Linked DNA regions of Notamacropus eugenii. The protein of the gene in region 1 purifies or fractionates together with the protein of each later gene. This does not show direct contact. Links are inferred from orthologs where the notes say so. Each region holds a gene or a part of one and is shown in the gene's direction. Other genes may lie near its edges. The genes, in order: WWP1, PTPN14, SPART and SMAD7.

The links.
Region 2: the proteins of WWP1 (region 1) and PTPN14 purify together in Homo sapiens (affinity purification with mass spectrometry; 3 studies listed by BioGRID). This does not show direct contact. The link is inferred for Notamacropus eugenii from reciprocal best matches to the Homo sapiens genes WWP1 and PTPN14.
Region 3: the proteins of WWP1 (region 1) and SPART purify together in Homo sapiens (affinity purification with mass spectrometry; 5 studies listed by BioGRID and IntAct, counting the BioPlex papers as one, with this or other methods). This does not show direct contact. The link is inferred for Notamacropus eugenii from reciprocal best matches to the Homo sapiens genes WWP1 and SPART.
Region 4: the proteins of WWP1 (region 1) and SMAD7 purify together in Homo sapiens (affinity purification with western blotting; 3 studies listed by BioGRID, with this or other methods). This does not show direct contact. The link is inferred for Notamacropus eugenii from reciprocal best matches to the Homo sapiens genes WWP1 and SMAD7.

Annotation. Positions count from the first base shown.
Region 1 is NC_092875.1:168,486,705-168,494,302, reverse strand, and holds the start of WWP1 (NEDD4-like E3 ubiquitin-protein ligase WWP1), read left to right. Parts: upstream 1-4,588; 5' UTR 4,589-4,900; intron 4,901-7,598. UniProt on the Homo sapiens protein: E3 ubiquitin-protein ligase which accepts ubiquitin from an E2 ubiquitin-conjugating enzyme in the form of a thioester and then directly transfers the ubiquitin to targeted substrates.
Region 2 is NC_092873.1:423,312,920-423,320,781, forward strand, and holds the start of PTPN14 (tyrosine-protein phosphatase non-receptor type 14), read left to right. Parts: upstream 1-4,840; 5' UTR 4,841-4,955; intron 4,956-7,862. UniProt on the Homo sapiens protein: Protein tyrosine phosphatase which may play a role in the regulation of lymphangiogenesis, cell-cell adhesion, cell-matrix adhesion, cell migration, cell growth and also regulates TGF-beta gene expression, thereby modulating epithelial-mesenchymal transition.
Region 3 is NC_092876.1:206,168,826-206,176,790, reverse strand, and holds the start of SPART (spartin), read left to right. Parts: upstream 1-4,952; 5' UTR 4,953-5,002; coding exon 5,003-5,027; intron 5,028-5,260; exon of another isoform or gene 5,261-5,444; intron 5,445-6,015; exon of another isoform or gene 6,016-6,181; coding exon of another isoform or gene 6,182-6,206; intron 6,207-7,965. UniProt on the Homo sapiens protein: Lipophagy receptor that plays an important role in lipid droplet (LD) turnover in motor neurons.
Region 4 is NC_092875.1:323,885,687-323,892,520, forward strand, and holds the start of SMAD7 (mothers against decapentaplegic homolog 7), read left to right. Parts: upstream 1-3,827; 5' UTR 3,828-5,921; coding exon 5,922-6,576; intron 6,577-6,834. UniProt on the Homo sapiens protein: Antagonist of signaling by TGF-beta (transforming growth factor) type 1 receptor superfamily members; has been shown to inhibit TGF-beta (Transforming growth factor) and activin signaling by associating with their receptors thus preventing SMAD2 access.

The DNA of each region.
Region 1 (7,598 bases):
GTTTCAGTGTAATTCTTATCAAATTAGGAATTCTAGTAATTTGTGTTCATGGGTTTATTAAACATTGGATTACTGTATTTGTTCACTTCCTGTTCTTGCTTGTCTAGTTTGTCCCACTAACCCACTTTTCTATTTTTTAACTGGTTTTGATTGTGACTAAATTACAATGTAGTCTGAGGTCTAATAATGTTATGCTTCCTTCATTGTATTTCCCATGAGACACTTGTCTTTTTGTTCTTTTAGATAAATTTTGTTATTTCTTTCTAGCTTTATGATGTATGTCCCAAATGTCTTAGTAGTTTTAAGCTTTAATAGCTATTAAAGTTAAATCTGTATATTAATTTAGGTAGTGCCATCATTTTTATTACAATGGCAAAGCTAAATCACAACCACTGAATGTCTTCAATTATTTGTTTCCTTTTATTTCTGTAAAGAGTGCTTTGTGGTTTATATAAATGGTTCATCCTACTTCTACAATATCTCTAATATTTCTCCCTTTCTCTCTACTCCCTATGGCCACCACTTTAATTCAGTTCCTCGTCAATTCTCAATTGGATTGTTGCAATAGCTTTTTAATTTGTCATCTGCTTCCAGTCTCTTCCCTCTAAAATTCATTCTTTATATAGTTCCCAAATTGGTACTCTTAAAGCAAAGTTCTAATCATGTCATTTCCTTGATCAAGAAATTCCAGTGACTCCCTATTTCCCCTAAGATAAAAATTCAGAGATTCCTCTGCTTGATATTTAGCCCTTCATAATCTCGTCCCAGTCTATCTTTCTAGATATTTTACGTTAACTTCTTCATGCCAGTCAAATAGGCCCACTTGCTGTTCTGTAGATACAACATTCCATCTCCTACCTCTAGGCTTTTGCATAGACTCTCCCTACATCTTGAATGCCCTCACTCACTTCGCTGGCTCCTTTCAAGGTCCAGCTCAGATGTTATTTCAAATCCGAGGCTTTTCCTGATCTCCCATTTGTTAGGGCTCTATTCAACCTCCGCACTCCCCTCCCTCCAATCACTTTATAATTTACCTGTTTTGCATTTTGTGTTCATTTATTTGTATATATGCTTTTTTATCCAGCAGCAGATAAGCTTTTTGAGAGCAAAGTCTACTTTATTTTAATCTTTTTAGCCATAATACTTGACACAGTGCCTTGAATTTATATTTGGGAATTTTTCTTTGACTAAGAATGTAAAATTGAAAATTTATTTTAATTCTATTAAGCTAAATTGTAATCAAGATGTATTTAATATTCCCTTTCACTGTTCCTTCACCCACTAACCACATCCCAGAGAAACTTGGTCAACCTTTTGTCTTGTAATTACCCCTATCTTTGTAACCCCACCTATCACCCACTTTCCAAAGAAACTTGAATAACCTAAAAGGTCAAATCTCATCAATTTAAGCTATTGTAGCAACTCCCATTTGAGGAGAATCTTTATCTTGTGACTCAAATCACCTATCTTGGTTGTGGTAAATGGGGCAGCTGCGGGGCAGGAGCAAGAGAGACCCATCTTCCTGAGTTCAATTCCAGCCTCAGACACTTAGTACCTATGTGACCCTGGGCAAGTCACTTAATCCTGTTTGCCTCAGTTTCCTCATTTGTAAAAATGGCAAGTCACACCCATATTTTTGTTACAAAAACCCCAAATGGGATCATAATGAGTCAAATACAACTGAATAACAACAAGGGGCTTTTAGAAGGGGAGAAAGAAATGATATAATCTTAATTCTGACTATGTCATCAATAGCCAATCAGAAGACACATCTGTACTGCTCAAGATTTTGCTCTGTCATCTTAGTAATTGTTACAAAAGACCCTGTCAGTCCTCACTCAAGGTCTTTGGTTACTGAGACACCATAGACCCAATTTATTGTTTACTGTTGGCCTAACTAATAAATTAATGATACCTGGAACTTTGTCTCTTAGTTTACCTTCATTTTCAAATGTAACAAATTGAACCAAATGACTTCTGAAGTCTGTTCCAACTCTGGAATTTTATATTTCTACTGATTCAAGTTGGACTTGAAGCTGGAAAATTTTCAAGAATAGGTCTTGTGATGGGCTTTATAGCTGTTGTCAGAGGACAAGTTTAGCTAATTTTAGAGAGGTCTATTATCTAGTTGGCCAAACAGTGATGAATTTTTGGCCATGGCAACTCTGAAATACCATTTATTAAATTATAGAGGTATAGTACTCTGCAGCAGAGAAGGATATACCTATACTGATGACATTACAGATCTCTGAGGTTTTGAAGTATGGACTGACAAACAGAATCTCCCACGGTTTGATTCACATCATCTTGGATATGTAGGCATTCAATAGCAGTAGGAAAGCTTGGGTGGAAATCTTGCTCTGACATTTACCAACTATGTGACCTTAGTCTTCACTTAATCTCTTTCAGCCTCATTTTCTTAGTTTTTAAAATGATGATGATACCTATGTGACTATACCCACAACTTAATATTTACCAAGTAACACATCAATTAAGATACAGTTGTGACAAAGACCAAAAGAGATAAAATATGTACAATACAAACGTTGAAGTGTCATATAAATACCAGTTATAATAATTATAGTAACTCCCTCACAGGGTTGCTGTGGGGATCAAATGGGATTGTGTTGAGGCTTAGGGGTGCTTAGGACCCCAAAATACCAACACGCCAGGTCCTGTCTGAATGAATTCGACTCAAGCCTTCTTTCAGCCAAAGAAAAGTAAATTTTATTAAATACCGGCCATATTTGGTAGACTCTTAAGGAACCTAAGCATTTGTGACACTTGTATTGACAAATGGGCCAGACTGAATCCGAGCTAGATAGAATCTTAGCACCTTCAGGGAGGCAAGATGTTTATATACAGAAAGGCTATGGGAGGAATCTAGGGGTGGCCAGATAGTCTGGGGTGATGGGAGGAGGGGCTTAGAGAGGGTTTGAGGAGAAGTCTAAGGAGGCTTTGATGGGACTGGGCTGATTAGAGGTCAAAACCAAGACAGTGGGATTTTGATGGGAAGCAGACAGAGGCAGTCCAGAGCTAACAGACAGAGGAGGGCTAGGCTAGATTACCGGTATTTTGATGGGATCAAGGATGGGAAGCAACCAGAGGCAATTAGACAAGGAGGTAATGAAAGGCTTAGGGCCAGGCCAGATCCACTGAAGATTCAAGGAGAGTTCAAGGGGGTTCCCAGAAGCCTGTACCCTATCAATAGTCTATATGAAGCATTTTGCGAACCTTAAACACTACGTTTTAGCTAATAGTGTTATTATAACTGTAGCACCTGTGCCTGAATGGGCTCGGGTGGTCTCCTAAACTAGGACAGTGTGATAAAAATGTATCAGATACAGTTACATGTTTGCCAATCTTCTTCTGTGTAATAGGGTTGGAAGGAGAGCTAAGCTGGCTGACATGAAACTTGTTCTTATCCGCTAGACTGGGTTGGTACTACTCAAGCACTTTGCCTTCCTCCTCTCTCCCCTAGCAATCCTGAGCCCCAACACGCCATACCCCTAGACTGCAAATGCACTGAAGGACACGGACAGGGCTCTCTTCTCCACAGAAGTGGAGCTCCACTCCTCCTGAAATGCCTTCGGGATCTCTGGTCACCCGGGGGCAGCCCGGGCCCACGCCGCGCGGGTAGAACACGTGGGCAGCCACCACACACTCACTGCTTGTTGGGGATTCCTTCTTGGGGCTGTTCCCTTATTTCTGAAGAGCGGGTGCACCGGGCCGCCTCAATCCCATTCCCTCTCCCACAGAGGCCTCGGCTGAGGCAGCTCAGACCGGGGCTGTCGTTCGCAGAACTTTGGGAGGAATGCCTTCATCACGCAAAGCTGGGGGAGGGAAGGAGCCACGGCTTTAACTTCCGCAAGTATCTGCAAAGAGAACGCTTTTTCGACTTGCAGATGGAAGAACGAGTGCCCCTGGCGGAGCGATCCCGCTGAAGTCCAGGTCGCCGGTCGTGGCCAGGTGAGGCCAGGTGAGGCCAGGTGCTCCGGCCTGGGGCCTCCCGGGGGGCGGGGTGATCCAGCAGAGGTGGCGGACACCGTCCTTCGCGCGGGGCCTGGGGTCACGTCCCGCTCGTTTTCCGCTCCCGCCGCTGGGCCGTGCCTCGGGTTTCTCCAACTGAAGCCAGCGCTCCGGCTGGCAAACTTGAGAGTCGGAGCCCCGGCTCTGCCCCGCTTCCTTTCCCGGGTCTCCGCGGGAGCTCCGCCCCTCTTCAGGTTCAGTCCTCCGCTCAGCGCTCGCTACGGCCTCCGCCCCCCACCCCCAACGCCCCCTCACTGCTGGGAAGACCAGGACAAGTTAAAGCTTTCACTCGGAGCCGTGTCCCGGTGGAAGCTCTTGCGCATGCTCAGAGAGCCGGCTTCTGGCTCAGCCCGGATTTGTCCGCGGCGGCCGTGGCGGCGCCCCGCGCGCTCCCGGGCAGGACGCGCGCGAGAGGACGGCGGGGTAGGGGGAAAGCCTCTGAGTGCGCTCCCGAGTGCGGTGGAGAGGGGAGTGGATGGGGCGCCGCTGCGCGTGCTCCCGGGCATAGTGACGGGGGGCGGGGACGCGCTCTCGGGGCGCGGCGCCGCGGACTAGGGGACGGACGGCGCTCGCTCCCGCGGAAGGAGGTGTGGGCTTGGACTCGGGCGGTGCGGGGTTCGGGGTTGAGGGTTGGGGTGGGGGGGAAGGGGGCCCCAAGGTCTGCGGTCTCCCCTGCCCGTGGGTCCGTGCGGCTGCAGGCGGCCTGCACCGCCGAGGGGCCGACGCCGGGCGGGTGCCGCTGGGAGATGGCCATCCTTGACTCCGAGGGGTGAGGAGAGCCGCCACCGGCTACTGAAGGAAGAGGAGGCGCCGCCGCCGCCGCCACCTCCCGGGCCGGCGGGCGAGGGAGGCGGACCGGCCGCGAGCCTCGGTAAGGACGCGGCGGGGCTCGGGCGGCGGGGCCCGGGCGGCGCAGCGGGCGTCCCTTCGCGGGCCGGGCTGGGGTTCGGGGCTCGGGCCCTCCCCGTCCCCTGGCCGCCCCCGTGCTCCCACCCCCTCGGGCCAGGCGGGGAGGGGGCGGGAAGGAGGGCTCCGGGGAAGGGGAGGGCGGCGCTCGTCCTCCTTCTCGAGTGGGTTCGTGGGTCTTTTCCTGAATGGGACCCGCCAGAGGCCCGCGTTCGTGTCCCGGAGCGGGGAGAGTGTTTTCGTGCGCCCGCGGTCCCGGGCTGCCTGCCGGCTTCTCTGCTCCGTCTCTGCCTCTGCCTCTCCCTCGGTCGCCCTTTTAATAATCTCCTCACCTTCCATGTCCGGGGCGCCCACCCGAGCCCAGCATTTTTCCGTGGCGTGTTGGTGTTGCTCCGCAGACTTCACCGCGCCGTTCCCCTGGCGCACCCCCTTCTGTGACCCTGCGGTTCCCCATGACCTTGCCGTTTTTATTCATCTCCACAATATCATCTTCCCTCTCTCTTTCCCTTCCCCCTCCCAATGTTTCGTCCGTGTCGTTTCTCCATCACCCCTTTGGCATCGGAGCGCTCTTTGGGGGTGTCTGCTTTGGGTTGTCTTAGACATTGACGAAGAAACATTGTCCATTTGCTTTGGCATTCCTGCTTCTCTGGACTTCTAGTAATCTGGTTTTGATTTCTCCTTTTAAAATGTTTTGTGTTGTGTAGGCAAACATGAATAAAGCGGGAAGTGATTTCTATTTCCACATAACACATAAAGTACATTAGAGGTAGGTGTGAAGAAGAGAAGCTTTACAAAGAAATTATTTTGACTTCTGTAACCAGAAACATCTAGTGTGTACTGCACATATAGGTTTATTTTAGTCTGTAGCTTCTTGAAAAATGGCATACGTGGAAAACTGTTAATTTAGGTTCACACTGCCCCACTAAGTCTGTTAATTTAAACTAAACAGGGAAATCAGAAGTACAGTGTATCAAACATTCAAAAGAAAGTGACTTTCAGAAAGACTTTGATTTGGGTGATTTTAAGTAGCAAAATACTTAATGACAAGTTAATTTTCATAGAAGTGACCTTTATAATAATTCCTAGCTAGTTAGCTTTAAAAAAATTAAACTTAATAGTGAACTGATAGGGACTGCTCACTGGACTCCTTTGGTAGTCCAATAAAGCCTATAAACCCCTTCTCAGAATGTTTTTAAATGCATAAAATAAATACGTATGAAAGAGGAACAAGCATTTTGGGTGGTGGGATGGGAGTGGGGAGAAAAATCATTTATGAGGATCCAACTGTGTGCTGGACATTAAGTCCTAAGGGCTTTACAAATGTTTTTCACATTTGATCTTCAAAGCAATCCTTTGAGTTAGGAATTCTTGTTATTCTCGTTTTACAGTTGAAGAAACTGAGCCAGAAAGAAGTTTTAAGTGATTTGCCCAGGGTCACACTTGAATTTCAGGACTTCCCGACTCCAAGTACAGTGCTCTATCCCCTGCGCTGCCTATTTAGTTAGAAAACCAATTATATTGAAATACAGTTATGTAAGTTTTTTTAAGTTCCTGGACCTTGGAAGAGATACAGAAATAATGCATAAATTTTATTCCTTTGTTTTTAACGTTAATAGTATGGTTATAATGTACTATTTTTATAACTCAATGTAAAAAAGGTTTTGTCTTCCAAAAGCATCATTTTGAGTTACAATAAATCAGTCACCAAGTATTTACTAAGGACTAACCATGTTTCAGCCATTGTGTCCCGTGTTGAGAAAGAAAGACAAAAATGAAATTCCATGCCCTTAGTCTGTCAACTCATTTATTATGCACCTGCTGTGTGCCAGGCAGTTTGCTAAATGCTGGGGATAAAAAGAAAGCCAAGAGACAATCCCTTCTGTTAAGGTTCTTACAGTCTAATTTGGGAGACCATATACAAACCTCTGTGTACAAACAAGATTACAGCTAATTGGAGATCATTAAGGTAGGGAAGGCACTAGCATTAAGGGGAATCTTTAAAGTCTTCTTGCTGCATATGGTACTTTAGCTGATAACTTGAAGAAAGTCAAGGAAGTTAGGAGGTGTAGTTGAGAAGGAAGAATTAAGGTTGTGGAATACAGCCATTGAAAAAACTTGGAATCCAGAAATGGAGTGTCAAGTTCAGGAGGGGGAAAAATCCAGCAAAGGAGGTCAGTGTCAGTGGATCTCAGTTTCTTCATGGGGGAGGGGGGAAGGTAGGTAAGGTATAAAAAAAATGGAAGGTAGAAAGGGGCCAGGTTATGGAGGGCTTTCTAAGTCAAAGAGGATTTTATATTTCATTCTAGGGGTGATAGGGAGGCACTGGAGTTGGTTAAAGGGGGTGTTGACATGGTCAGACTTTTGTTTTAGGAAGATTACTTTGACAGGTGAGTGGAGGGTAGACTGGAATGGGGAAAGACTTGAAGCAGGGAGAACAATCAGCAGGGTATTGCAATAGCAGGTGCATGAAGTAATAAGATCATGAACCAGGGTGGTGGTAGTGTAGGAGCACAGGGAGCCTATGTAAGAGATGTTATAAAGGTAGAAACAGAACTTTGCAATCAGTTGGATATGGGTGAAAGTGTGGAATCCAGGATGACATTTGGGTTGCAAGGTTGCAGCCTGGTGATTGGATGATGTTACCTTGGAAAAAAATAGGAAGG
Region 2 (7,862 bases), on another chromosome or scaffold:
ATGAAAATGAGAATAAACTGGAGGGAATGAATTTGTGAGATATTTTGGGGGTGGAATTTCTAGGATTATGAGAGCTGAAGGAGAGAAAAGGGTCAAAGATAACCCCAAGGTTATAAACATGAAAAAAAGGTTGGGTGATGGGGTAAAAGATAGAAATTGTGCAAAAAAAGTAAGAGAGGACTGATAATAGGAAGAAAGACAATATATTCTGTTTTGAACATCTTCAGTTTGGGGTAGTGGTGAGACATTCAGTTGGATATCTGAACTCAATTGAAGAAGCAGATATGAAACTCAGAAGAGAGGTGATAAAGACTTGAAAACCATGTGACAGACCCTTGAGGTTAGATCAAGAAGAGATCAAAAAGGAGTTGAGTATCCAGGGAAGGAGAAAGAGAAGAAATAGAGAAGTAAGAAGCAAACAAAAATATAAATGTGTCTCTGAAGCATAGGAGTCAGTACTTCCGAAAGGAAATGGTTAACTTGGTTAAAAGCAGTCATGTGCTGGACTCATCTTCTACCTGGATCCAATTTATTTTTCAGTATGAGCATTTAGACTTTGGAAATCAGTAAATGCAATCAGGCTTGATTTATTGTTTTTGTGCTTGTCTAGACCTAAAAAGTGACTGAGAAAATGTTAGAATAGATGAAACATAGTGTGTTTTATGTTCATTCCCCTGACTAGAAAGCTGTTTGTTAAACATTTACTAGCACACTCTTGGTGAAAAGGCAGAGGGAAATCAAGTAGAATTCCACAATCACAAGGTTACTGGTAATCTTTGAGAGAACAATTTCAGAAGAATCAGAATGTAAATGGTAGAAGAGAAATAAAGAAATGGAGATGCTGCATATAGCCAACTTTTCAAGAAGCCAAGTAATGTAGAGGAGTGTGGTGAGAAGACAGTATCTGAATGGGTTAAAAAAATCCAAAGAAAGCTTTTTTTTTAAAACTTTAAGTTAGGGAGACCTAATCATATTATTAGATAGTTTGGAAGAAACAAGGGGAGAGGGGGTAATTGAAGATATTCAAAGGAGAAAAGGGATGAATGAGGGATAAGATAAGAAGGGGCTGGAATGAGGGGGCAGTTAGGCAGCACAGTGGATAGAGTGCCAGGTCTGAAATCAGGAAGACTCATCTTCCTGAGTTGAAATCTGGGCTGTGTGACATTGAGCAAGTCACATTACGCTGTTTTCCTCACTTTCCTCATCTGTAAAATGAGGTGGAGAAGGAAATGACAAACCACTCCATTATCTGCCAAGAAAACCTCAAATGGTGTCACAGTCAGACATAACTGAAACCACTGAACAACAATAACTAGAATAAGGTCCTGGAGGAAGTGAGAGAGAATGTATGTAGGGAACAGGTAAGGTTAGCAGTTCTTAACCTTTTCTGTGTGTTATGGCTCCCTTTGGCAGCCTGGCAAAGCCTAGAGAATCCTTAGAAGGTTTTAAAATTCATAAACCAAAATACATTGGATTACAAAGGAAATCAATTTTACTAAAATAGTTACACATATGTGTGTATGTGTATATATATACATATATGCACATACATACATATACATACGTGTATATATATATATTTATATGAAAAATCCAAGTTCACAGAACCCAGGTTAAGCACCCCTGAGGTAGAAGATTATTCTTAGAGATGAGGACTTGGCAATACTTTTTCTGTGACCAAAGGAAAGGAGAGAAGGGGATATGATGCTGCCAAGTACTGAAGAAGGAGGAGGGACTTTGGGAGAGGTCATAAGTTCACAGATTTAGAACTGGAAAAAATCTCCAAGGTCACCTAGTCTACAAATGTCAAACACAGGGTCCCCAGGCAGCAAGCAGCCCAAAACACTTCTGAGAGTGATCTGAATCACTTTCTATCTGATTCTAATGCATTGGTGTATTAAAAAAAAAGAAATCTAAGAACATGTATGTTTTTCTAAGCTAATATGGCACCTGAAGGGATCTTTATGCATGATTAGTGGCTCCCATTTCTGTTTGAGTTTGACACCAATAACTACTTCATTCTCATCATCAGACAGAAAACTGAGGGACAAAGAAATAAAGTGATTTCCCAAAGTCACAGAGGCTGTAAGTGATAAAACCAGGATCTCAAATCCAAGTTTCCTGACTCCAGATATATACTCTTTCCATTACACCACCATATTACCTCAGTGTTCCTACTGAGTGCCTGGGATATACATAATAGGCACTTAATAAATGTTTATCGATGAACTGACTCAGAAGCAAGATTATATGCTGTAAATGTGAGGGCTTGTGGTGTAGAGAGGAGGAGAGAAAGCTTAAAATATACTGTGGAAAATAAAAATGGAGAATGAATAAAAGATACTGAAGGAGGGTGGATCACTATCAAAGGTCCAGTTAAGGTTATGTAACAAATTTGTAGTGGTAGTGAAGTCAGCTGTTTCATGATTTTTCTACAGCAAAGGTCTCATAATGTAACCTCCCTTCTCAGTAACCTCCAGTGGCTTCCTATTGCTTCTAGAATAAAATATAAGTATCCTAGTCTTTAAGGTATTTAATCTCCTGACCCCTTCCTAGTTTTCCAGTCTTCTTAAACTTTGCCTCTCTTCAAGCTCTCAATCTTCTGGCCACAAAGACCTATTTGTTCTTCCTTGAGTACTATACTCAATCTTCCATAGCCATACCTTTGCATGTCTCTCCCTCATGCCAGGAATTCTCTTTCTCCTCACCTCTACCTCTTAGTTCCCTTGACTTCTTTCAAGACTCAGTTCAAATCCTGCCTTGTGTAAGCAGACTTTCTTTCTCCACCCGCTGGTAGTGCCTTCCCCCACATGAAGTTATTTGTATGTATCATGTAAGTACTTATTTATATGTGGTCTCTCCTTATAGAATTAGAGCAGTAAGGGAAGGGACAGTTGTTCCCTTTCTTTGTATTTCTAGCATGCTTAATAACTGTTTTAAACTGATTGACTGATTACCTCAATCTATGCTTTGTGACTTTGGAGCTGGATCAAACCATTGGACTGTGGGGATGAAGATTCACAGGTCTGGAATGGCAGTAGGTGTGTGGGTGGTGGGGTGGGGCGGGTGAGGTACACAAGATTCTAGGGTAGTAGCGACAGTAATAGTAAGCAAATAAAGCAGAGATCGGATAGGAGACTAGGAATGGGTCAAAGAACTGAAAGTCCTAATTAGGCTAAGGAACAGGCTTAATGTAATAGTTGGAGAGGTGGAAGAATAGAAAATTGTGATTAGATAATGATCAGGGGATATTTGCTGTTTCTCCTTCCCCCTTACCACCCAAAGTATAAGAAATCTGAGAGGGCTCCAACCATCATTTTAGTCTCAAAAGGTCCGGACTTGCCCAAGGTCGTAGATTTAGTCAGTGTGGAAGGGCCAGGCCTATAACTGTGGTCAGGGCTTCTTTTACCCGTCATACTGCTTTACTTCAACATCACCTCCAAAAGATTTAGGGAAATACTCTTCCAGTGCCAAGCCCACGGGTGGAGCAATTATGTGGTACCACATGATCAGGAAGAAAGATACATTCCATTTATGTTTCTATTTATATGCATTTTTTATAAGCGGAGGGGGGGGGGTCGTCAAGGAGACTAGGTCCTTGATGCTCTAAGACCAATCTGGCCGAAAGCCACTAAGCATGCTTAGGATACAATGGTCCACTGCTTTCTCAGAGATGCTCTCTTCGGTGTCAGATGCTCCTGGAAGCTTGTGCGTGGGGTGACCAGGCACAGGGTCCCCTTAAAGGGGGGTATATTTGGTCTCTCCCAGAGGGTTTGGTCAAGCCCCTCCTGTAGCTCCGCCCCTCAGGGACGGAGGTGGGCTTTTCTTTCCTGCACTTTTGCTGCAACGTTCTTCCAGCTAGGGTATTTTTTTCCCCGTTTCCATTCTGAAGCTTATGACTCTTGGATGGTAGTTCACCTCGACCTCTTCTCACTATCCCCACCCTCCCTCCCCCCTCCTAAAAGCAAAATATTTAGAAGTCCCTGGACATCTACCGGCCCTGCAACAGGAGCTCCAGCAGCCCCACATTCCACGGATTCCTGCTCTGTGACGTCCCCAAGGCCAGAGCTCAGCGCACTGAGCAGGCTGCTTCGGCTAGGGAGCTCCAGCTTCGTGTTCCAAACACACGCAGAAAGAGACACACACACACAGACACACACACACACAGACACACACACACACAGACACACATACACACACACAGAGGCGCGCTCACAGAGCAGCAAAGCCTACACCCTTGGGACTCCTCTTCGGGCCACATTCCATTCCGCCCCCCACCGCGAGCCCCTTCCCTCCTTCCTCCTCCCGGCACCCCAGCGCCTCGGAGTCCAGCCGCGTTGGGGGGTGGGGGCGCCGCTGCCCCCGGCGCCTGCTTCGCCTTCTCTCCCCCAAGCGGCCCCTTTCCTCCCTCCCCTCTCCCTGCTTGCATTTCCTGCAGCTCTCGCTTGCTTAGCCCACGAAAGTCAGGGCAAACTTTTCCCTCCCCGGAGTGCAACGTGAGCAGCTCTTGGGGCAGGTTGCCGTAACTTTTTATTTTTGCCTCCGCCCCGCCGTCCCCTCTTCCAACCTTCAGTCCTCCTGGGAGAGCAAACACAAAGTAGCTGCTAGCGGGCCCTCCCTCTGCCTCCCACCTCACCCCATCCTCTCGGGCCTTAAGCCTTGGGATCTCCCGGCCGCGGAACAAAACCCACACTGGATGACTAGGTTTCTCTTCTCACTCTCCTTCCCCCTTTCCTTCTCCGGTCCTTCCCTTCCCTTCCCTTCCCTTCCTGGACTCTCCTCGCTTGATCCGAGCGGAAACCTCCCTCCCCTTTCTCCTCCTCCTCCAACTACTTCCCCCCTCCCCTTCCCAAATCAGCCACTGTAATAAATTCCTTGGGGAATTGGAGCTTCTGCCGCCGCCGACCTTTCCGTGGGGGACTCGGGACCTCTGTCCGGGGGGGACGTGTAAGCAGGTAAGTGTGGGGGTCCGTAACACACAGCGTGTTGGCTGAGGCTTGGAGCTCCGGTGTCCGTGCCTTTGCTTGGAGCCCCAGAGGGGCTTTGGGAGGCTGGCTTTCAGCTCCGCCGCTGCTTGCAGATGACTTTGGCAAACACTTGGAGAGCGAACTTGCGTTCTGGCCGGCCACAGACCAGACGGACGGACTGACGGACGCCTCCGCTGGTGCAGGAGTTGGCTGGCCAGTTGGATTATTCTCATAGTGAAGGCACAGAGCTTGCCTGGTGAGGGTTGGAGGTCGCCAGGGGTCTGATCAGCCGAAACCTCCTTCAACTCCTTTGAGTTTTGGGGGGAAGGGTTGCCTTCTGAAGATATCCACGTTGTTGGGGGAGGGGGAGTGATAAGGGATTTAGAACGTTCTCTTCCACTGAGGGGAGGCAGACTCCTCTGGTGTGACACCCCGCCGCCTAGCCCACTACGGGGAAGCCCGGTGAATAGAGAAGTTTCTTCCTGCCCCTCACTAGGCCCCATGTTTGCCAACAGCTCTTTTGGGCCCCGTAGCCCGTATCTTTGAAATTTGTCTGGGACCAAACTTTTTCTGGCTCACTCCTCCTCTTCCAAAAAAATCCCCCACAAAACGGATTGAGCTTTAACAACTCCTTCCTCATTGGAAAACAGTTTTTAGGGGGACACTTTGCTGGAGGCTTAGCATCGTCTCACCTGGAGGGAGCAGAAAGGTAAAATGTGCTGTCCACCTAGCTTTCTGCCCCCTTTTCTGTTTGCTCTCTGTAAGGCGAGAACTCAGGACGGAAGCATGGGGTTCTTACTTGTTGCTTTCCAGTGGGGACGTCTTCTAGTTCTGCAACCAAGGGCTCTTGCAGCAAGGATATTTGACAGTGTACTACTTTTTCCTCTGCGGATCAGTTTGAAAAAGAAATGATGGTTCTTTCCCCTCAACCATCAAATACAGAAAGAAAAAAAATACCCAGGATAGAATAAATCAAGATTTAGTAACCACAGGAAAATTCAGTCAAGTAGGGGCTGAGTTAAAGGTTAGAGGTCAGGAGAAGCCTTTTTCTCCAGTGATAGAGATGACTTAGGGCACAGACAGATTTGAATCAACCTGATGAAAGGGACTTTTATGCCCATACGTCCTCAGGTGTGGATTGAGCTCTACTATGGGCTGCAGGTTGTCGAGGTTGTCAGTAGCTGCGTTATTCCACCTTTCCTTGCGGTCACCTTTTCTTAGAGCGGTGAAGTGGCAGGTTGTAGCAGCAGTGGGGACTTTGCTACTGCTCATCCATTTTAGGAGTAAGCCCAATGGCTTGCCTATTTTGTGTAAGCACTATAGAGATCAAAGAACATCTGAAATGTACTTTTGCCTTTGTCATGCATTGGTGAGAGTGAGTGCTTTGTCAGTAATGCTCACTCTCTTCTCACTTAGAAATGCTATGGTTATTGCTGCAGCACAGTTATAAGAGCCACTTTCTTTTTCCTGAAACTTTATTAGGGACGGATTGATACATGTAGGAAGTTGAACAGAATATAACAGCTTTTTATGCTCTAGCCTGATATTATACTGTATAAGGTCGCTAATTTAGAAGGTTATTATGGTATCATAATAAGTGCAAGTGTCAACTTGTAGCTTGTTTTTAAATGAACTGCTCTTTGTAGGGCTGATATCATATGTCACCATATATAATGTGTACATACACTCATATTTACATACACTATATGCATTCCACAAGAGGGGGTGGGGTTAAGAGACTTGGGCAGGTTCATCAGACTGATAATCAGCTAGAGTTAGCCATGGAACTCTGCTCTTTTTGATTGTCAATCTAGTGCCCTTTCCTGTGTAACATGCTGCTTTTATTAATAGCACTACTATGATTAGTGCCTGAGTCTTGTGCATGGTGGTTGTGCCATGCTAGTGTTTGTGATTTTATTTCTATGCATCAGGCATCTGACTGGGAAAAATGTGTGGTTATTTCTTTTAAATAACCACTTGTGTTTGTCTTTGCCTCTCCACCTACTGGTGAAGATTCTCCTTGAAGGTGTATGATCTGAGTGGTTGGTGAAGACAAGTCTTTCTAGCCAGTTATACTTAAAGTAGACATTAAGTTTAGACAAACATTTCAGTTGCAGGCAGCAGCATGTAAATGAGCCAAGAATGGAAGAGCCTTTCAGTACACTAAAAAGATAACAGAAGTTTCAAGTGTCATAAAGACTTTAATTTTTCTTGAATTGTTAGGTGAGGGTGAGATACTGAGATGAGTTCCTCTTATATCTTTATTTTCTTATTGGAATCTAGGTCTTTTTGAATGGGATTAAAGATATTCAGTTGAATATCCAGGAGCTGGTTGTTCAGTTTATGGACTACCTGTGAAACCTTCTGTTTCTTTTTGGTCTGGACTAGTAATGTCTTTGATGTAGGGAACTCTTGGTGAGAAAGCTCCCTTTATCACTGCACAACAGCTTTGCTTCTCTACCCAGTTATAGTCTTAATTTCTCAGTGCCTCCAAGCATTGAGGGATGAAGTAATTTGTCCAGGGTCACACAGCATGTATTTGTTAGTGGTGGATCCTGAACCCAGGTCTTCCTGATGGCAAGGTTTGGTTTCTATTCAAAACACTACCTACTTCTCCCTTGTTTCTTTTCCTTCATCCACATCCTACTCTATTATTTTAGTTTTGTCTGTAAGTATTCAACAAATAAAATGAATTCCAGAGCTTTTATCACCTGAGGAAGGGAAGAGAGACAGGTTGTTGCTCAGTTGTGTCCAGTGGAGGCCAGATAAGTCTTCCTGACTCCATGGTACTCTGTACAGGAGCCAGGAAGACCTGAGTTCTGACCGCAGACACTTCCTAGCTATGTGACGCTGGGCAAGTCACTTCACCCTGTTTGCCTCAGTTTCCACATGTGT
Region 3 (7,965 bases), on another chromosome or scaffold:
TCTAATTTGTGCTAGCATTGGAAATATCTACTATTAGCATCATTCATTATGGATTAAGCACAAGCAGGGAGGAATAAGGTATTAACAAAGTCAATGAAGTTTACAAGTAAAGTGCTACCCACCTACTTATGTAGATGTGAAACCTATACCTACTACTCCAATAACATTTGGTTTCTAGACAAATTCTACCAGTGTGACAAGTAGAAAAAAATCTAGTATCCATTGCCCTGATAAGATCTATGATAACATAAGCCAGTCAGGATGCTGCACCTGGAGACACAGTGAAAGAAAGTCAGATCTGTTGATGATGAGTATTCTAATATCTCCTAACAACTAAGAAATAACTACAGATATCAGATTGTAGTACAGTACTCTAAGTTATCACCACTCAGGGTGATGACTGGAATTCTTCCCCATCTGCTCTTGATTCCCCAAAAAGCAATTCCTTCTGAGGGACTAGGTCAGAATGGCTCTCTCTCCCCATGATATTGCTATACATTTGAATTATGAGATTCTGAATTGGCTTGCTATTTTATAGATCACCCACAGGGTGTGATCAAGTTATCTCTGAATAGCAATATACTTTTTTGGACCCCCAAAAATAAGTGGGATTTTTTTATAATTTAAATTAAGTTGAAATTTTAAAATTTAATTTAAAATTTTAATTAAAAGTTATCAGGCATGTATTTTTTCTCCTTACCCTGCCCCCCCCTCAGTTTAAAAGGAAAAAAAACCCTACCCTTTATAGTAAGTATGCAGATTTTTATAAAATACTCAGGAAAAACAAATCACAAGATGCCTCCCCCAAAAGTCCATTACCTCTCTGTTGGACTGTGAATGAATACTATCTCCTCTCAAACCTTGATGGAAATAGTCCAGGATCTGGAACCCAAGAGCTTTTAGAAAACCATTGCTTTCAGTCCCATGGCCACATCCACCACTCTGGGAAGAAACCACTGTGGATATAGCCTGGCAATTGCTCCTATAGGTACTTACAGCTATAGCTTCTGAAGACTCAGAAAGTAAATTCTTGCCACAAAAGTCCTTGGCACTGTTGAATGGTTCTACATCAGAAACTGATAGGATTGTTATCAGTGAAACATTAAAGAAAAGATACTATAATATGCCTTGCTTCAGTGCCCTAAGGACCATGGGACCTGTCTATCTGGCTTGCAGCTGAGAACTTCCATACACGTTGCCTCCCCCATTAGAACATGAGCCCCTTGAGAGCAGCAGTTCTCTTACTTTTCTCTTCGTATCCCTAATGTTTAGCACAGTTGCTTTGCACATATTAAGTACTTTATGCATTTACTAATTTGGTTTTCTTCTTTGGCCTTCTGGAATCATGGTTAGTCATTTCATTGACTAGAGTTCTTAAGTCTTTCAAAGTTGCCTCTCTTTACAATGTCATCATCATTGTATAAACTCTTCTCCTGGTTCTACATCATTCTACATCAGTTCATTATTTCCAAGTTTCTCTGAAACGATGTTCATAATTTCTTACGCAAAATAAGATTACATTCATATACCATAATTAATTTAGCCATTTCCCAAATTGAGCATATCCTTAGTTTCCAGTTCTTGGTGACTACAAAAAGAGCTACTATACTTTTGTACATTTGGGACATTTTCCTTTTTATGTGATCTCTTTGAGGCATAGGCCTAGAAGAGATATCACTGGATCAGTGATATCAGTGCTTTTTTAAAGCATAGTTCCAAATTGTTCTCCAGAAAGGCTCCCCTGTGTGTATGTTTACCCTGTAACCCAGTATGTATCCCAAAGAAAAGAGAAAAGGACCTATGTGTATATCCACTCTTTTTGTGAAGGCAAAGAATTGGAAATTGATGGGATGCCTATCAATTGGGAAATGGCTGAACAAGTTGTGTTACATGATCGTGATAGAATACTATTGTACCTTAAGAGATAATGAGCAGGATGATTTCAGAAAAACCTGGGAAGACTTCTATGAACTGATGCAAAGTGAAGTGAGCAGAACCAAGAGAACATTGCACACAGTAACAAAATCATAAGGATGATCAACTGTGAAAGACTTGGCTATTCTGATCACAACAATGATCCCAGACAATTCCAAAGCACTCATGATGAAAAATGCCATTCACTTCCAGAGAGAGAACTGATGAACTCTGAATACAGATTGAAGCATCGTTTTTTCACTTTATTTTGCTTATTTGGTGTGTTGTGTGTGTGTGTGTATGTGTTTTCTTTTGCAAAATGGCTAATATGGAAATGTGTTTTGCATGACTTCACATGTTTAATCAGCATCAAATTGCTTGCTTTCTCAAGGACAGAAGAGGGATAGGAGGGAGAGAGAGAATTTGGACCTCAAAATTAAAAAAAAATTAATGTCAAAAAAATTTCACAGATGATTGGGAAATATTTAATGAAATATGTATATGCAGTTATATATGTGTTGTATATTTAAAAAAAAAAGACCACCAATACTTTCAGGATAGAGGCACTCCCTTTAATCTAATGACTTTCAATGACTTTTAAATTGATCAAGGAATTTTCACACCAGACTAAAGGCTATGGTTGACTGGAATTACAAAGAAAAGTTACTAAATTATTTACATCCTTTTACCTGGGACTATTTACCTTAAGAACATTATAGATGAAAAGAAAAGATTCACAGGCACAAAAGCATTCCAGAACAGCAATATTTGTAATAATAAAAAGCTGGAAACAAAATATGTGATCAACAATGGCTAATGTTTTTATGAGACAATGCAGAGTAAAGAAAGCAAAGTCAAAACTTCAAGGACTACAATGTTTAAAAAGGTATGGTGAGAGGCACCAAAACTCTAGTCAAATACTGTTCAATGTTAGAACCATAGTATGGTTCAAATTTGAAGACTATCCCTCCTGTTTTCATCAGATTTGCTAGATGATACATGTAAAATGCTTTGAAAATGCTAAAATGTTATTTAAAAATCATCATTAGGAGTGTTTCTGGGATATTATAAATGGAAACAAAATGTACCAATAAATCTAAAAAAGGGGAAAAGTTTTGTCAACTGAAAATATAAATTTATATATAGCACTTTTAAATTTTACGAAGTGCTTTTTCATCATGGCAGCAGTCCTGTAATGTCCTATTTGCCCCATTTTATAGATAAATAAACTTAGGCCCAGAGAGCCTGACTTGCCTAAGGTCACCCAGGAAGGCTAGTCCCCAAACCAGGTCCATTAATTCTAAATCCAGTACTCTTTGTACATTCCTGCAACTTCAACAGGTTTTACCTTATTCAAACTGTCAAAAGTATTAGCAGGTAACATCTTGTCAAGTGAGGCGGGTAAAGTGACTCAATCAAGCCCCATCTTTGTCCTAAAAGAGCTTTCTATTGCTATGCTTTTCCAATACAATTTCAAAATATCTCTTGAAAGGATCAAATCTGAAAACGTTTAGATCAATGGTGGAAGATTATTTTTTCTCTGTAGGACACTGAGGTCTATCTGTTACCTAAAATATACTGCAGATTTTGAGATACGCTGAAGAAACAGAAAATTCTGAGGGAAGTAAATTCTACTCTTTCCCCTTCCTAGTCAAATGACATTACAATTTTTTTTAATTAAAAGGAAAATTACCTAATTTTTTCATTTACTAAGATTTTTTGACACTCTGAAGATACCACTTAAAATTTTTTTTTTCAATGAACAAAAATCAATTCTCCCTCTCCCTGGAGAAAAAGCAAAAACAAAAAAACCCTTGTGTTGTTCATGTCCCAAAAAATATACATCTCATTCACCACCCTGAATCCATAACTTCTCTGTCAGAAGGTGGGTAGCATGTATAGGCAACACTTAATTTATACAATCTAGTTTACCTTTAATTTCTGTAAAGATAACTGGCATTTACATAGTACAAACCAATGCTTGTAAAATTTATAATGTTTACATACCTACTTCACAACAAGGAAGAAATCAAGACCCAGGGGAGGCTGTCACTCCCATAGCCACAAAGCCAGTAAATGTCAATGGGTGCCCTGATGTCCCCAACCTGCTCTAACACTTGGTGATACCCTTTCCAGGGGAATGTTTTATTTAAAATTGTAATTATTCATTCAGAAAATCTGCAAGGTATTAGACTAACTTGACAACTTCCTCTTAAAAACACAAAATATTTATAGCAAAAGCAATAGAGCACCAACATGTATAGATTATACATATGTATCTTCTAAATGTACAATAATGTACAAATAGGTAATTTGTATTAAACAGATTAAAGCGTATTCCAAGTCTTAAAAGAGCTATATAAAGGCAAGCTATCATCATCATCATAATATATAGTTAATATAGGCATAAATATATAATATATAATTAAATATAATGTAAATATATAATATATAATAAAATATATGGAAATAAATCTATACTATAAATATCAAAAATAATTATACATTATATATAGTACATACTAAATACGTAATAAATAAAAATATATATTAATTATAATACAACCCAAGAAACAAATAATAATAAATACTATTTTTAAAATACCGCCCCCTAACGGAGAAGCTAGAGCCCTACCACTGCCTCGCGCTGCCCGTTTTGCCAGGGGCGCCCTCTAGCGGCCCAAGATGATCGCTCGCTGTTCTACTTCGGACACTCAGGGACTGCAGCTCTGCACTCTAGGACCAAGCGGTCCAGGATGAGCCCGCCCCCTAGCTAGGCTCAGCAGTCTCCAGGGCGCCTGCGCGGAGGGTGGAGGGGGGGGGGGGGGGGGGGAAGCAGGCCGAGGGGAAAAGGGCCTGGGAAAGGAGGGGGCGGGGTTGTGGGAGGCCTAGGCCGAGTCAGTAGTAAATAAAGCCGAAGCCACTGCCCAGGCTTAGGCTCTGGTTCTCGCGCTCAGTGTCCAGTCGCGCGCTCGCTCGTCTCGGTCCTCACCCTAGTCCCAGCCGTGGGTGAGGGTTTTAGCGGTCTTTGGGGGTGAAGGGCTTGGAGCGGAGAAAGGCTACAAGACGGGGCGGAGGTTACCGGGCGATGGGCGTGTGGGAAACCCTGCCGGGTGGGTGACACCCGAGAGGAAAGCTCAGGTTTCGGGGAGCTGGCCAGCAACCCGCGGGCCCTGGGGGAGGGCCGTTGGAAGTGAGCAGGCCGGGAGAACGAGGGTGTCGGGGTGCTGGGTCGAGCCTCTCCTCCCTCCTCCCTAGCACGCTGGTTGGGCGGACGTCACGAGCCCGGCCTGCCCGCGGGGCGGGGGAGAGGAGCGCGGAGAAGTTAGGCCTTTCCGCCCACCCCCACCCCGAGCGTGCGGGCTGCACCCTTCAGACGGCGGCGGGTCCCGGCCGGTCCGTGCCCGCCCGCAGCCGGCTGGCGTCTCCGACTCCGAGGGCCGGCGCAGCCGAGCCCGAGGGTGGACAGGTAAAAGCCGGCGCCCGTTTCTGGCGTAGAGCCAGACGAGACGCGGGCGGAGTGTGTGAGGGTACGCGTGTGTATGCGTGGGGGGGGCGGGGAGGGGGGAGCGCAGGAAGGGGCGTGCCGAACTGCTGAGTCAGCGCCTGCGTCCCCGCCCGCCCCGGGCCCCGGGCCCCTGCCCAGTTCTGGAAAGCAGGGCTGTGCGCACGAGCTGACTGTCCTACCGCGTAGGCATCGGATCCGGTGTAGTCAGCCCTTTGGGGGCTGCTTCCTTGTCTGCTCAGCCACGGACAGCCAGCGGACGGCCTTCCCCCCCTCGCCCCCATCTTTATAAACCCCTGTTTGGGTCCAGCAGGATCTTTGGTGCCGGTGGTTGGTCTTGGTGATGCAGTTAAACCTTTCTTAAGTACCTCCTGCGTGCTAAGCTCTAGCGCTGCGGAGAGAGGCCAGGCAGCGCTGCCTTCGGGGGTTTACAATGTAGCAGACCTGGAACCAGGGGGGACCTCCGGGGGACGCTCGGCCCGTCGGGGATGCCTGCTGGGCTTCTCCGGGTCGTGGTTAGTGGGCCTGTGGTGCAGGGAGCAGCCCCCTCCCTGGTTCTCCCGTTTCTGCCCTGGTGACCTGATGGACGCGCTTGAGGCTGGGCAGAAGCCTCAGGAGCACCACCAGATGTGCATTCGCGTTTATTGTACGTTCTGTTAAGGAACCGCTTGGATTTCATTGGGAGGCGTTATTCTAAGGACAGCGTCTCGAACCTTGTCATTCTGGCTTTAATCATCAAAATGAAGCAGGTGTACTGATTTTATGAAGAACTTACTTGGAAGTGGAAGTAAGCAAAGGAAGTTTTGCTGCTTTTAATCATAAAATTAATATTTAAGCAACATCTATTGGAAGCTGCAGGAGTGTGGAACGCGCACCGGGTTTAGACCTGCGAATTATTAGATGGCTGATCTTGAGTGAATCGGCTTCTGCAAAGCCTAAATTATCTACCTAGAAAATGGGGCTGACAGCACATCACCGGCTGCCGCCTTCATGAAAAAGCACCTTGTAAAACTCAACGTGCTATGTGTAAATTTATTTTTATTTATACATTTTTTTCTACTTACCACACCCCAACAAACACTCATAATGACATTTAAATAATGTTAATATTTTCAAAGCGTCTTACATATATTAGCCAGCCAATTCGCTGAAAACAGGAATGTTTTAAACAAAAAACAGGAAGGATGCAGCCTTCAAAATGAACCATATTGCGGATATAACATTAAACAGTGTATCTGACTAGAATCTTAGTGCCTCACCTTTTAGGCAGTCCCTATTCTTTTGACTTTGCTTTCTTTATTCAGCACTATCTCATAAAAGCTGTTAGTCATTGTTGGACACATATTTTGTTTCCAGCTTTTTGTTATTACAAACATTTCTGTTCTGGGATGTTTTTGTGCCTATCGGTTGCTTTTTTTCCTATCAAAAATCTTCTTGTGGTAAATAGTCCCAGTAGTAGAATCTGTGGGTCAAAGGATGTAAATAATTTAGTGACTTTTCTTGCATAATTCCAAATTGAAATTGAACCTCTGAACAGTTAATGTGTAAAGGTTGATTTTTTTTTTTAATAACTTCAACTTTTTTAAGCTTATCTTTAGTTTTCCCTAATACAGACTATTTGGCACAGTTGTAGAAAAAAATTTATGTAAACAAATGTCATCCACTATTACCAGCATATTAAAAATTACTAAGTGTTCCAATGGATGACATATACATTTTAACCAAAATCATTAAGGATCAGCCTGGATTAGTTCAAGGGATCTTAACCTGGGACCATGGACTCCCACAGAATCCAAGTAATAGGTTTCAGGGGGTCTCTGAACTTGGATGGAAAAAATTACATCATTTTCATTAACATCTCACTAAAATTAAACATTTCCTTCAATTATGAACATAGCCAACATAACATTGTGAGAGAAGACTGCCAAAGAGGTTTGTGACACACAAAGTTTAAGAACCCCTAGTTTAATGTAAACTGGTCTGTAGGTGGCATGGTAGATGGAACACTGGGCTTAAGAGGCTGGAAGAACCAAGTCCAAATGCAGCCTTAGACCCTTGATGTCTGTGTGATTCGTAAGATTATCTGAAGGACGCATGAAATACGAGACGAAGTTGTAATTCATTCTCAAACATACGGAAAGAGTTGAACATCAGCCTTTCTCTTATTCTCTTCCCTCCTCCCCTTCAATTCTCCTTAAGTATTATCACCAGATGGGGAAGTGATGTGAACTTGAATTCAAAGACAATTGACTTTTGAGCTGAAAGTCAGACGAATAAAGGACATACAAAGCTAGAGGCCAGGGACAGTAGGGTCTTCCATACTGCAAACTTAGAAACCAGGGTCCTAAATAGGCTAGTAGGATTCCTGGGGGATAATAGTTGACTTTATAGCACTTTATAGCACATGGTAGTTAAGGTTTACAAAACATTTTTTTCATATATATTAACTCATTTGATCCCCACAACCCTATGGAATAGGTACATAGAACTTATTTGGGGAAACTGAGGTACAGGCAATAACTGGCTTGACCATTGTTCCAAGGCTT
Region 4 (6,834 bases), about 160 Mb from region 1:
ACCCCTTCCCCTTGGAAGACAGGCAATTCAATATAGGCCAAATCTGTGTAGTTTTGCAAATGATTTCCGTACTAGTTGTGTTGTATAGGACTAACTATATTTCCCTCCACCCTATCCTGTCCCCCATTACTTCTATTCTCTTTTGATCCTTTCCCTCCCCATGAGTGTCAACCTCGGATTGCATTCTCCTCCTCATGCCCTCCCCTCCATCCTCCCCCCCACCCTGCTTGTGCCCCTGTCCCCCACTCTCCTGTATTATGAGATAGGTTTTCCTATCAAAATGAGTGTGCATTTTATTCTTTCCTTTCGTGGAATGTGATGAGAGTAGACCTCATGTTTTTCTCTCGCCTCCCCTCTTTATCCCTCCACTAATAAGTCTTTTGCTTGCCTCTTTTATGAGAGATAATTTGCCCCATTCAACTTCTCCCTTTCTCCTCCCAATATTTCTCTCTCACTGCTTGATTTCATTTTTTTTTTAAGATATGATCCCATCCTCTTCAATTCACTCTGTGCACTCTGTCTCTATGTATGTGTGCGTGTGTGCATGTGTGTGTATGTACTCCCACCCAGTACCCAGATACTGAAATGTTTCAAGAGTTACAAATATTGTCTTTCCATGTAGGAATGTAAACAGTTCAACTTTAGTAAGTCCCTTATGACTTCTCTTTGCTGTTCACCTTTTCATGGTTTTTTTTTTTTGAACCCTCAAGAACAGTATTTCTGTCTTTATTTCATAATGCTTAAAGATTCTCTTGTAAATACTGAGCAGGGAACTAAACTGACACTCTGAATTGTCAAGGTCCAGATTCTTCCTTCCCATCTCCATTTCTTCTGTGTGTAACAGCTATATTTCTGATTAAAACTCATAATACTTTGTTGTGGCTGACTCTTTGTGACCCTATTTGGAGTGGTAAAGATACTAGAGTACCATTTTCTTTCCGAGCTTGTTTTATAGATGAGGAAACTGAGACAAACAGGGTTAAGTGACTAGCCCAGGGTCACACTGCTTCTAAGTGTCTGAAGTCAGATTTGATCTCAGGAAGATAAGGAGTCTTTCTGACTGCAGGTCAACACTCTATCAACTGCACCACCTAGTTGCCCCAAACGTGCCAAGCTACTTCATTAGACCTTAGAGTTAGAAGGATTTACAATGGGGAAAATTAAGATCCAGAGAAGAAATGACTTGTGCAAAGTTACATAGACCTGAGATTCAAATTCACATGTTTTGATTCCAGATCCAGGATTCTTTCCACAATGAAAGAGCACCTTTCCTATTTCCAATGAAAAGTTTAATTGAAACACATAGCTGAGAGAAACATGTTCTCTATTGGTATATAGGCATTCTATAGACTGATGTACCTATGCACAGCTTCCCAGAAATGTATTTAGATGATCTCTGCTAGAGAATGATCACACAACATAAAAGGATGTGTTTGAGTTATTTAGTTTTTTCACTCACACCTAATTCTGTCCACCTTTCTATGTGCAAGGCAATTTGAAGTTACTAAAATATCTGAGATAATCTCTTTAATCTCAAACAGTTAACAGTCTAGTAAGGGAGATATAAAATTCTTGCTTTTTAATAACAACTTAAAGTTAACATTTCTTGTTCAGTCACATGAAATCCCCCCATTTTGAATGTTTACTTTTTAAAAACTCATACTACTATTTGTTCCCTGTACATGTCAAGTAGGCAGCTAGGTGGCGCAGTGGATAGAGCACTGGGTTTGGACTCAGGAAGACTCATCTTTTATGAGTTCAAATCTGGTACTTACCAACTGGGAAACTCTGGGGAAGTCACTTAACCCTGTTGGCCTCAGTTCCTCAACTGTAAAATGGACTGGAAAAGAAAATGGCAAGCTACTCTAGCATCTCTGTCAAGAAAACCTCAAATGGGGTTATGAAGTCAGACATATGTCTAAAGTCAACAATGTATGTCAAGCATGCTAGTTTTTTAAATCAATAAATACTAGACATTACTAATGTTTGTATATGAATTTGAAAATATCAACTGTCACCTCCTCAAAAGAATCTTTTCAGATCCTCTTCCCCAAGCTTTTTGCAGACCTCCACACCCAGACATTCCTTTGAATTTTATACTTAATATTTACTTATCTATGTTCTTCTTATTTTTCCCCTTTAGAATACAAGCCCATGGAGGGTAGAAAATATTTTAATATTTATCTTTGTATACTAAAGGGCCCCGTGAAACTGCAGTAGGAGCAAATGTTGGTTGAATTGAACATTACTCCTGTATAAATGTTTTATTAAGATTCTCTGAATTCCATGTGACCCAGGGCAAATCACTTAACCTTTCAATGCCCCAGGCAACTTTCTAAATTACTGAGAAGGTGCGGACCTGCTTTGGAAGTGGGAGTTCCTTCCAGGAAGCCCCTACCCAGATAAGATCAAAAGTCCAGTCCAAAAAGGGGGGGTAGGGGGTTGGGGGAAATCATCTGGATGTTCAGTTCCTCACTCATCACCAACTTACACATTTATTAGGGCTGGCTGTCTAGGTGGTGGAGGAGTAGATAGCACCCCAGGTTTTCGGTGTCTGCAGCACTTAGTATAATGTCTGGCATATCGTAGGCGCTTAATAAATGCTGCTAGTTGACTTACTGAAGAAGTATGGAGAAGATACAATTCCTGATCCTCAGCATCATAGTATCTAAGAGAAACCATCACCATCCATGTCACTAAGGGCATATGTTGCTATATGCATGTCTCCTATAGTGCCATACATTTCAAGGCAGCCGATTCAAGCTTTGGTTACGTTGTGTTCGTGGGGGTTGAATGTTGTGTCTACATATTTACTTACGAAATAAGAAATTTGCAGGTCACTACATCCAGCCTCCCTCCATTCACCCACCTCTTCGTGTTGGGAGTTGCCAAAATCCGCTACAAGCCCCACTTTACACTTCACAACCCTAAATACATTCCAGAGCTGTTCACAATACACACTTCCGATGTAGTTACCGAAACAAGAGCGTGGAGGAGACCGAAAGAAGACTGAGGTCACATTCTCGTCCGGCTCCCCACCCCTAGGCCAGAGCTCTGCTCGTTCCCCTCCAGTGGAGACTTCCTGGGGCTCCAGTCCAGTCTAGTTTTAAATGACTTCTTAAAAGAGGACAGAGCTCCCCCCTCCTCCCTCCGGAGACTGCTGGGCAACAAACCCAATAGATCTCACGGTCAGGACTCTCCATCTCTTTAAATGAATGAAATGGGTTGGGGAGGGGGGCTTAGAGGAAAGATTGGGCCGGAGGGGTACTGTACAGGGGCAACGAACACCCAGACTAGTCTGCTGATGCAAACCCATTCTTGAGTCCTTTTTTTTGTTTTGCTTTTAATATTTTCTCTTTGCTGTAACTCTTCCAGCCGACCTGATTTTATATATGTGTATGTATGTATATAGATAGATACCTATACGCATGCACGCACATATATAGGGAATCAGGTGTTTTTTTCTCTCTCCACCTCCTCTTTTCTTCCTCTCTTTCTCTTCCTTCTCAGTTTCTCTTTCTCTCTCCCCCTCTCTCCCCAGAATTCAGGAGGAGGGAGTAGGAAGGGAAAGCAGGGGGGGGAGGGTGGTAAGGAGAAGAAAAAGAAATAGCTTTTAGAAACCCGATCTGTTGTTTGCGAAACACAATCGCTTTTTTTTTTAAAGCGACAGGGTGTCTAGACGGTCACGTGTCCAGGCCGGAGCCGGGCGCGCCACTGCGCAGTGGAATCAGCGAAGCAGAGAGAGCCAGGGCGAAGTGGGAGGGGGGGTGTAGGGGAAGGAGGAGGAGGAGGAGGAGGAGGAGGAGGGGCGGGGGAGGAGGAGGAGGAAGAGAAGCAGGGGAGTGTGTGTGCAGCAGGCGGCGAGCTTCAGACACACATACATACATACACACACACACACACACACACACACATGCATACACGGGAGCTAGGTCCGCGAGTAGAGCGAGGTGAGAGCCAATACCGGCTGGAGGCAGAAGCTGTTCGGAACCCTCACTGCCCTCCTCGGCTTCCCGGAGTCTTCCCCTCCCCTCGGGATTGCAAAGCACCGGAGCCCGGCTCCAGAAGCCAAAGGCAAAGACTAAGAAGAAGAAGGACACCCCACATTAAAAAAATATTCCCCTCTGCCTTCTCCTGCGAGGCAAAGCCTGCTGGTCCCCTCCCTCCCCAGAAGAAGAGGGGAAAAAAAGGGAGGAGAAAATAGGAGAGAAGAAGGGATTCCAAGCTTTTTTTCTTGCTGCTTGCTGCCCGGCGCATTGAGAGGAAAATAAAAGTCGGAGAGGCCAGAGAAGAGAAGGAGGCGGAAAGTAAGCAGCCACCCTCGAGGGAGCCCCGAGCCCAGACAAGCGACTGCCTGCCGTGCTTTTTTTTGATCTTTCCTCCTCCTCTCCTTCTCTCCTCCTCCTTCTCCTCCTCCTCCTCCTGCTTGCTTGCGTGTCTGCAGCCGAGGCGAGGAGCCTGGGCGAGGAGCAACCCTGAGAGGAGGAAGACACGGTTGCAGTAGCATTTGCTAGAGAGAGCCAGCCAGCCTGCGAGCTAGAGAGCGAAGCCGACGCCAGTCTCACCTCCTGTCAGCCTCGGCATCACCCCCCCTCTCAGATCTGTTTTTTCTCTCATCTCCCTCCTGCAGCCGTGGGGCCTGGAGGAAGTGGGGACTGGGTCGGGGCGGGGGAAGCAAGGCTATCCCTCGGAGATCCACCTCGGAAAAACCAGGAGAGCTAGTGAAGGCTGGTGCAGTTTTTTTTTGGAGGGGAGAGTGGGTGGCTCTTTGTTTTTTTTTTTTCTTCTTTCGCTGAGGTGGTGTTAGGAAGGAGGAAAGACGAGAGGCTCACTTAAAATAATAATCAGACGAGCATGGTGGAAGAAGCCGATTCAAAGCTTCCTTTGGATTAAAAAAAGATACATATACACATATGTATATATCTTTGGCAGAAGAAAAGGAGAGGAAGAAGAACCGAGCTCCTAGAAGAAAAAAAAGGATGTTAACTCTTGGATACATTTTTTTCCACCAAAATTTTTTTTTGTGATACTTTGTAAACGTTTTGTCGCCCTTTTTCTTCTCTTTTTTGAAAACTCCGACACAACCGGACGTCCCCGGGGCTGCGCCTTGCAGTGGTGATTGTTTTAAATTTTTATTTAGAATATTTGGGTTCCCCTCCCTTTTTAATTGAAAAATAATTTTTTCGTCAGGCACCTCATGCGGGGTGAAATTCACTTTCTTCCCCTCCCCCGAACCTTCGTGTGGATGGAATTCGTGGAGATCCGGTTACTAAGGATATAGTGCAAAAAAACAAATTAAATCGCGTGCCTGCCTTTTTTTTTTTAATTGCCAGCTTCTCCTCACCCCCAAATTAAGTTGCTTAGAGAAGGGGAAAAGAGCATTTTCTCCTGATTCAATCAAAGAAACAAAACCTTAAATTTTCCTTTTCCTGAGGTTCTTAGCCTCAGTAAGGAACTGAGGCTGGAGGTGCTGACATTCAAAAGCTACTCCTCTTCGTTCTGCGTTTGGGGGGCAGTGAGGAGAGAAGGAAGAACTACCTCTCCTGAATCCCCGTTTTTTCTCCCTTTTCCTTTGTATCTTCCCTTGGTCAGCCCGGTCTGTTTCCTCGGCGGGGCTGGGCGAGACGACCTGAATTGGGTGCCAGTGGAGCGGGGTGGGGAAGCCGGAGAGGAGCGGTCCCTCCCCTGCCAGGCCCCCCCAAGCCCCCCCACTCCCTCCGGGCTCCGAGAGACTGGCGCATGTTACGGAGCGTCCCTCCTGCCGCTGCCGCTCCTGCCCGGGCTCTTGCTGCTGCTGCTGCTGCTGCTGCTGCCGCCTGCGACTGCTGCCCCAACTCGGCGCCCAAATTCTTCATGGTGTGCGGAGGTCATGTTCGCTCCTTAGCCGGGAAACGACTTTTCTCCTCGCCTCCTCGTCCCGCATGTTCAGGACCAAACGATCGGTGCTCGTCCGGCGTCTCTGGAGGAGCCGTGCGCCCGGCGGGGAGGACGAGGAGGAGGGCGCAGGAGGAGGCGGAGGCGGAGGAGGAGGAGGGGAGCCGAGGAGGGAAGGGGCGACGGACAGCCGGGCGCATGGGGCTGGAGGAGGAGGCGGCGCTGGTAGGGGTGGCTGTTGCCTGGGCAAGTCGGTCAAAGGTGCCAAAGGTCACCACCACCACCATCACCACCACTCCTCCTTGGGCGCCGGCGCTGCCGGGGGCTCGGAGGCTGAATTGAAGGCGCTAACCCACTCCGTGTTGAAGAAACTGAAGGAACGGCAGCTGGAGTTGTTGCTGCAGGCGGTGGAGTCCCGCGGGGGAACCCGCACCGCCTGCCTCCTCCTGCCTGGCAGAGTGGACTCCAGGCTGGCCCTGGGGCAGGGGCCTCCCGCGTCCCCTCTCCAGACTCAGCCTACCCAGCCTCAGCCGCCGCCGTCGTCTTACTCGCTCCCCTTGTTGTTGTGCAAAGTGTTCAGGTGGCCAGATCTCAGGCATTCCTCGGAAGTCAAGAGGTTGTGTTGCTGTGAATCTTACGGGAAAAACAACCCGGAGCTGGTCTGCTGCAACCCTCACCACCTTAGTAGACTCTGCGAATTAGGTAAGGAGTTTTCACTTGCTTCAAGTAAAGCTTCTCCCCTTGCCAGTGATGGAGCAAACAGAATTGGGGTCTATACTTTTTACAACTGTGTGATTGCATTCTTTTCACCCTGCATTGCTAGTGGGGAAAATGTGTGCTTATAGTGAGGATGCATTGTAAGGGGATCCGGGGGCTTGGACTGATGTGTACTGTGCCTTCTTCCTTTTCTCCACTCTTCAGGCCCGTGAGTATGATTTGGCGTGCATATTATTCATGCAG